Stegostoma tigrinum: one gene and its partner. The protein of the gene in region 2 purifies or fractionates together with the protein of the main gene of each other region. This does not show direct contact. Links are inferred from orthologs where the notes say so. Each region holds a gene or a part of one and is shown on either strand. Other genes may lie near its edges. The genes, in order: lamtor3 and slc38a9.

The links.
Region 1: the proteins of slc38a9 (region 2) and lamtor3 purify together in Homo sapiens (affinity purification with mass spectrometry; 3 studies listed by BioGRID and IntAct, with this or other methods). This does not show direct contact. The link is inferred for Stegostoma tigrinum from reciprocal best matches to the Homo sapiens genes SLC38A9 and LAMTOR3.

What each region holds. Positions count from the first base shown.
Region 1 is NC_081354.1:4,153,412-4,157,335, reverse strand, and holds the start of lamtor3 (ragulator complex protein LAMTOR3), read right to left. Parts: upstream 2,516-3,924; 5' UTR 2,481-2,515; coding exon 2,472-2,480; intron 1,749-2,471; coding exon 1,714-1,748; intron 1-1,713. UniProt on the Homo sapiens protein: As part of the Ragulator complex it is involved in amino acid sensing and activation of mTORC1, a signaling complex promoting cell growth in response to growth factors, energy levels, and amino acids.
Region 2 is NC_081354.1:125,217,070-125,220,993, reverse strand, and holds the start of slc38a9 (neutral amino acid transporter 9), read right to left. Parts: upstream 2,340-3,924; 5' UTR 2,215-2,339; exon of another isoform or gene 2,205-2,214; intron 1,668-2,204; exon of another isoform or gene 1,446-1,667; intron 1-1,445.

The DNA of each region.
Region 1 (3,924 bases), about 120 Mb from region 2:
ATTAAAAATGAAGTTTCTTTAGAACAATAGCAGCAAGTGCGTTAGGAACAATAAGAAAAAAACTTTTACAATGAAGTCTTGAAGACCTAAAACTAAACAAAAGTTTGAACAACTTACTGAATCAGACACTGCTTTAGAATGTCAACTGACCAGCTCAAATCTTCAAAGACGCATTGACTGTTGCCACAGAAAATAACCTGGGCTAACTTGCATCAAATAGACATGTCTTATCTACCTCGTAACCGTACTGCTACCCTTTTAGATTGCAAAGTGCAGCTTCTGTTATGAGACCAACCCTCTAAGATTCTTGATTGATATACATTAGCTGCAAAACCAAGAATTAAGGTCAAGATGGTGACAGACTAGTCTTTCAACTGAGCTTATAAAGCAAGATTACCATAAATAAAATAGGACAGAGCCAGAGAACTAATCGTGGCCTGAGTTTGAAGGCAAACTCAGCAACTGCCACACAATGCCCCATTGTGTTTGTTTAACATTGATATCTACACGGCACATTCACCACACTTGATCATTGGTTTAGAGACATCTCCAAGCTGGCTTTCCAACAATAGTAACCCATCGGCACTTGCAGATGAAACAACGTCTAGCATATTACAACTTGAAGTGGGAGATAGTGAGGAAATTGCCAAATGCCACTTAACAGACATATGTTTGGAAGCAACTATCAATACTGTCGCAGGCTTACTGCGGTGTTCCAGCAAAGCTCAACACAAACTGGAAGAACACCACCCTATGGACTCTATATCAAATTCAACAATTTTAAGGTCTGAACTGGGTGGCATGGTGGCTCAGTGGTTAGCACTGCAGCCTCACAGCGCCAGGGACCCAGGTTCGATTCCAGCCTCAGATAACTGTCTGTGCGGAGTTTGCACGTTCTCCCCGTGTCTGCGTGGGTTTCCTCTGGGTGCTCCAGTTTCCTCCCACAGTCCAAAGACGTGCAGATTAGGTGGATTGGCCATGCTAAATTGCCCGTAGTGTTCAGGGGTGTGGGGGTTATAGGGGGATGAGTTTGGGTGGGATGCTCCAAAGGGCAGTGTAGACTTGTTGGGCCGAAGGGCCTGTTTCCACACTGTAGGGAATCTAATCTAAGAAAAAGAAGCTCTCCCAGGTCCTAGCCCCATAGCCTGCCATTACACACTACCTGTTGTTAGTCACGAACAGTCCCCATTAACAGCTATTCACCCTCCCAGCCTGACTGTTATCAACTCCTTTGTCTGTTCAACTGTTCTAGTGTCTTTGAGCTCTATCCCCAACTATCAAATGCTCCTTTCCACATACGCTGTTCTGCACATAAACCGACACTTTCCTAGCTACTATCAGTTCTGACGAAGGGTCACTGGGCCCAATGCGTTAACTCTGATTTCTCTCCACAGATGCTGCCAGGCCTGCTGAGGTTTTCCAGCAACTTCTGTTTTTGTTTCAGAGTTACAGCATCTGCAGTTCTTTTGCTATTTATTGATATTGAAAAGATATTTGCTATTCAACCAGAAATAATATTACAGACTTGTAGGAAAGAGGAGATTAGAAGATAAAAGGAAGAGTGAAAAATCTGCGATTAAGAAATATACAGTGTAATAGTAGAGGAATTACTGTGTATTTTGGACATAAAGTTACTAGTCTAAACTTATCTAAAGAAGAGAGTCAGAAATTGAAACAGATTGAAGAGGAGGAAGGGTTATTTTACATTCTCACCTAGGCAACTGTTTGTAAAGATATCTCTTCAAATCCTGTAGAAAAGACACACATTAGAAGAATGCAGTAAAAATGTAGAATTATACTGCACATTTTCAACTTGAATATGAATTGAAGTTCAAACCTTTAACTGCGCCAGTAACAGTTGGCAGTTAGAACTGCCATGAAGTTATTTTTAATTAATTGTTTAAAAATGTCAACTGCATCCAAATTTAATTCAAGCCAGTCTCAACTGGTTACAGTTATTTAACACTCACCTTCACGCATGAAGTATTCAACAGCAAGATCCTATATACACAAAATAATACCTTCCTCTTTCAAAGGCTGTGCTGAAAGGAGGCTAAGAGGAAAGACTCACACCCACATTAAACTTTCACATGTTCAATAAATAAATTTCAACCTCGCATTATGGGTATCAGGCCCAATAGTCGCATGCACACTGTAGAAAACTCTGCTCAAAGCAAGCTTAAATAGACCAACAGAAGATGACAGCCTAATATTTTAATTTTTGAATAATTAGGAAATAAAACAAGAGAACGTCTTGCTCATGGGATCCACAGATGCTATTCACTACATTTTTAGATGCAAACAGAACCTTGTCTACGAAACTGGCTGCATGACTTACTGTAGTATCATATTTACTGTACTAGTCAGCTTAATTATTAGAAGGCATTTTCCATATGCTGTTCAAACTTACTACAATATAGGTAGCCTAACAGTATACGCAATTTTTTCGTAATTAAGAAAGGATTACTTACATCTGCCATCTTTCTTTAAAATGTTGCAGAGAAAACTCAATTCTGAAACAAAACCATAAAACCTGTGTTAAACGGGGCTTTATCTTTTGATACTTACTAAAATAAGCAAAGGCATGCTCAATTTAATATGCTAATTAAACATGCTATAACAGAGCATGTGGAGTGAAGGAATGTAAAATTTTTAATATCAGAAAAATCGGAATATTTAGTTCTGAACAACAGAATATATTCTGCATCCAATGGTTTGATGTTGCTGCTGAATTTCCCACATGCTTCAGCCACCATATTCACCATTCAAATCCCTGCTTCCTGAACGCATTTTACTAAAGACACATACAACTAGGGGAGCTTTCACTTCATTTTGCACTAATACACTTTTCAGTCCTAAAGTTATTCAGCTAACAGAATGACAGTTTCAAAAGTGCTCCTGAGATGCTGCTTGGCCCGCTGTGCTCATCCAGCTCCACACTTTGTTATCTCAGATTCTCCAGCATCTGCAGTTCGCATTCTCTCTGATACAATTACTCCAAATAGTTTTCTAAAATCTACAATGTGCAACTGTATGAAAGTGACCAACTCCTAGGGCAACAAAGAATTTGCCGAGCATGCAATGTCCCTGGATATTGAAGAACAATCATACAGTACAGAAGAGGCCATTTGGCCCATCATGTCTGTCCTGCTAGAAATATACTACCTACACTTTCCTGCACAAGATCCATAACCTTAAAGTGTTTGACACTTCAAACTCCCATCTAATTTCTTTTTAAAAAGGTTGAGGCTTCCCACCTTAACTATCCTCTCAGGCAGTGCATTCTAGACACCCTTTGGGTGAAAAAGCTTTTCCTCAAATCCCCTCTGAACATCGAGCCTTACATGTTAAATTTATGCATCTCCCCACCCAGTTATTAACCCTTCAAATGAGGGGAACAGCTGCTTTCTACCCACTCTGTCCATGCTCCTTATAATCTTATACACCTCTATAATGTTTCCCCCAGCATTCCCCCCCCCGCAACTTTCTCTGCTCCAAAGGAAACAACCAGAGTTCATTTCGCCTCTCTTCACAGCTGAAGTGCTCCCTTCCAGGCAACATGCTGGTGCATCTCCTTTGTACCTGTTCTAGCATAAATACATCCTACGAGGTGACCAGAACTGCAGCTATGGCCTATCAAAAATTCTGAACAGCTCCAACTTGAACACCCCCCACTGTTATAATCTATGCCACCACTGATAAGAAAACGATAACATAAACTGCTTTTGAGAAATATGTTACCAAGCCATTGAATTCTTAAAATGATAAAACCCAAACACATTTTGTAAAAGAACCTCTTTCTCTTTCTCCATCAGAATAGAAATCCCCTGATCTGAAACTAATTTCTAAATTCTTATTCCTCAAGAGTTGCCTGACCTGAGGGTAAAGACTGTATTTTGACTTTGTCTCATTCAAAAGATATAC
Region 2 (3,924 bases):
CAGACATGGGTGCAGAACAATCATAATATACATCATAGAGACAAGGGTATAATAGAGTGGAAGCGGAATATTCAGAGAAGGGGCACAGGGTGGGGGGTACAGTGGTATGTTAGACAGGGAGAATTTAGAGTAATACTTAATGAGGAAGATCGTAAGGACGATCTGGGGTAGATTAGGTTAGATTCCCTACAGTGTGGAAACAGGCCCTTCGGCCCAACAAGTCCACACTGCCCCTTGAGGCATCCCACCCAGACCCATCCCCCTGTAACCCACACACCCCTGAACACTACGGGCAACTTAGCATGGCTGATCCACCTAGCCTGCACATCTTTGGACTGTGGGAGGAAACCGGAGCACCCGGAGGAAACCCACGCAGACACAGGGAGAATGTGCAAACTCCACACAGACAGTCGCCTGAGGCTGGAATCGAACCTGAGACCCGGCTAACCACTGAGCCACCATGCCGCCCTAGGGATCACAATAGTGTTGGAATTAGGGAAACGGCAGGATTATCCAAGGAAATAGTCAAATGACAGTTGTCAAACCAGGAGGATTGAAGAAATTTAGAGGAATGGAAGACATAAAAGGAGGCAATCAAATGTTATGGATCGGAGTAAGTATACTTGAAAGTTCACCACTATCTTAGTTCTCATTTATCAACTGACAGTTTTTGAGAATGTGGTATACAAAAGAGAGATGCTGCAGAACTGTTTCCACATGTTTGGGCACAAGTAGGACAGACTCAAAATAAGATATTGAAACATGTGTAAAAAGCTACTGTGTGAGCAATTTCTGAAGGCCTTTGTATTGAAGTTAAACAAAACTATAGAAAATACAATTAAGGTGTAAAATCTGCAAATATCTATGTTACGATTTTTTCTAGTAATTCTTTAACCATTTTATCAGAAAGGGCAGCAGTGCTACTGGACATGGTATGGGGTTGATGGTGTGTGATTCATGCACAATAATTTGCGCTGGACCATTTGCAAGCCCAAGCATCTAAGAGTTATTGACATTGGGATGAAACCATTACAGAAGTTTACCCTTCCAATGTGTAAGGGCATAATGAAGGACCCATAGATTTACACTGAACGTACAAACTCTACAGTCACCCCAGAATGGAATGGAAGGCAATTCTCTGGCGCTGTGAGGTGGTAGTGCTAACCACTAATCCACTGTAATCCAATATAAAATCTTCGTTCAACAATTATTTTGTATATGTTGTATAAATATATAGCAAAAACATGCTCAAGTTGGTGTGCTGACAGTGGAAATGCTCGTTTTTTTAATTTCCATCTTTTCCATATTTTATGCAATATTTTGTCAAAAAATGTTGTAATTTTGAGTGTAATGGTTCGATGTTGTAATACTATTGATACGATGTTGTAATACTATTGCTGTGCCACCTAGTGTTAACGATGGTGTTTGCATAATGTCAAGAAAGGACGATTACTCTATTCAAAAGGGACTGTTCCTCTTAAGTAAATATTTAGATCAGGAACGCATGCTTTCCCTCACAAGCCTGGAGTGTTTAGGACCCACCGGAAATGTGCGGTTTGTTTTCAGCCTGTACTTAAAGGTGAGAACATCCAAGCGGTGCTCGTATTTATTGGCAGTTTATAGAGGGGGAAATTTGTGAGTGATTTCAAACTGTGCTGTACGGGAAGGTAAGTTGTAGACCAGATTGTTTTGATGCGTACAATATTGGGATTTTGCTGGAAGCATGATCGTTTATTTGTTCTTTTCAGCGAAATACTTGATCCTGCCTATCTTGGAGAGTTTTTCACTTATGCTAGTATTTTGATGACTGATCTGACGTTGCCGTTTGGGATTGTTATCTACGTTGTTTTGTCTCGCCTGAAATATTTGCATAAGGCATAAGATAATTAGATAGTTTAAACTTCATGTTTTGGGCATTTTTGCTTTCATACTTTATTGCGTTAGTGCTTTGACTTACAAGCGCACATACACACACACTCTCTAGGACTCACATATTAAAGTAAGTACAACTATTTTAAACCACTTTGCATGAAGTTGTGGAGCATTATTAACATCGAATTAAGTATTACGAAACGAACATTACTTTTTAATTACGTCAGAATAGTTGGCGCATCCATCGTTTTGTTTTGCCCTGTCAAATTTCCCCCGTAAGTTTTTTTGGGGGTTTAAGAAAAAGTAATAGAAAGAGGAAGTAGGAAGTTTTTTTCTGCGTACCGCTTCTAGTGATCTCCCGCAAGATGCGGTTCCGTTTGGTGAGGGTCTCGTGGCCGCTACCGCGGGCCCGGGTTCCATTACGTCCTGCGTCACAATGGCCACGTAGCTGTGCTTCAGGCCGCTGCACCTGTGATCACGTGACATTGTAGGCTGTCGTTTAGGGGGTGGTTGGCCCCACGTGAGTGTGCCAACCGCGCCAAACGGAGGCGAGGGTCCAGTAAGTGAGCGTGGTTCACTTTCAGGTGGAACATGCCCAACCGCCTGGGGAACCTGATAGCCCACCTGGCCTGACCGTCACACCCATCAGGCTCACGAAGGGCCGGCCCCATTCCACTCGTGGACGGGAGCGACGTGTCAGTTCATGGCCGGCGCAGATCCTCGTGGTGGGCCAGCGGCGTGGTAGAGTTTATAGAGGCCTTCCCTAAAGCCTGCTCTGTTTGGCACCCCGCGAATGACCAACGTGTGAAATAATGAAGTGCTCCTCTTTTCTTTTGCTCTTAGTGGGTGAAGGGTGGGGATGTGGATCTACTTGGCACCTAAAACCAAACCAGGTTTCTTGTGGGCATCACCATCGTGGTAATCGGGGAGTAGAAATGGGTAGGATACGTGGGATATGGTGAGAAAATGCTGCAGAAGGAGGCCTTTAAATTCTTGTGATATTGGAACCTACTTTGGAGATGATGTGACCTTTTCGGGTTTGGTAGGTTGCATCTGAACAGGCCTGGGAGCTAAGAGTCCTTGTGGGGCTGTTGAAGAAAGTCCTTACAAACCGCAAGAGGACTAAAAAGGAACCATATAGAGCAAGTGAGGCAAGAAGAATCCGAACAGATAGTGACATGGAATTTTCACATTTAGTGCCCATATGTGAACATAAAGAGTGTGGTTAATGAAACTGGTGAACTGTGGATACAGATATCTGAATGCACTGCTGTGATAGGAAAGGACTCGGGTGTTTTCGAGATGCAAGAATTTCAGTTAAGAAAATCAAAATAGTGGTAAACCCAAATCGTTTTCTGATGAAGGGACTAGGCCTGAAACGTCAGCTTTCTTGCTCTGAAGATGCTGCTTGGCCTGCTGTGTTCATCCAGCTCCACACCTTGTTATCTTGGATTCTCCAGCATCTGCAGTTCCTATTATCTCTGTAAATCCAAATCTGTCCACTTAGTACATTGTGAGAGGATAATTGAGATAAGAGTAGGGCTGATGAAAGGCCAGAAAGGTGAATCTTAACGAATGCTTTCCATCCATCTTGAAAAGAAGGGATGATGATAATTTAGTTAAGGTGTGAAATGATGGATGTGATCAACATGGGGAAAAGAGGATTTATTAATGAAATTAGCACATGTGAAAGTGGATAAATCATCGAGAGCAAACTAAATGCTCTTCATGCTGTTAGAAGAAATCGTCAGTTGTGGGAAAAACACCAGGTCTGAGCATTAGTTTCCAGTGTTTGCTGGTTGCAGGTGTGCTGCTGTAACATTGAAGGATTTTTCAGTGCAGTTTTTCTTAAAACAAAAGGGAAGCAAGGGACAGGTTGAATACATGCAGGCGAGCTGGTGAATAAATCATTGAAATCAATTTTGGGAGGTTTAGTTAACTTATAAAGGCATGCATTAATTATAGATAAGCAGTTTCTTTTCATGGGACTGTGGGCATTGCAGCTGGGCCAGCTACAACTTGGTGCCCATATATAATTTCAGCAGCGACAAG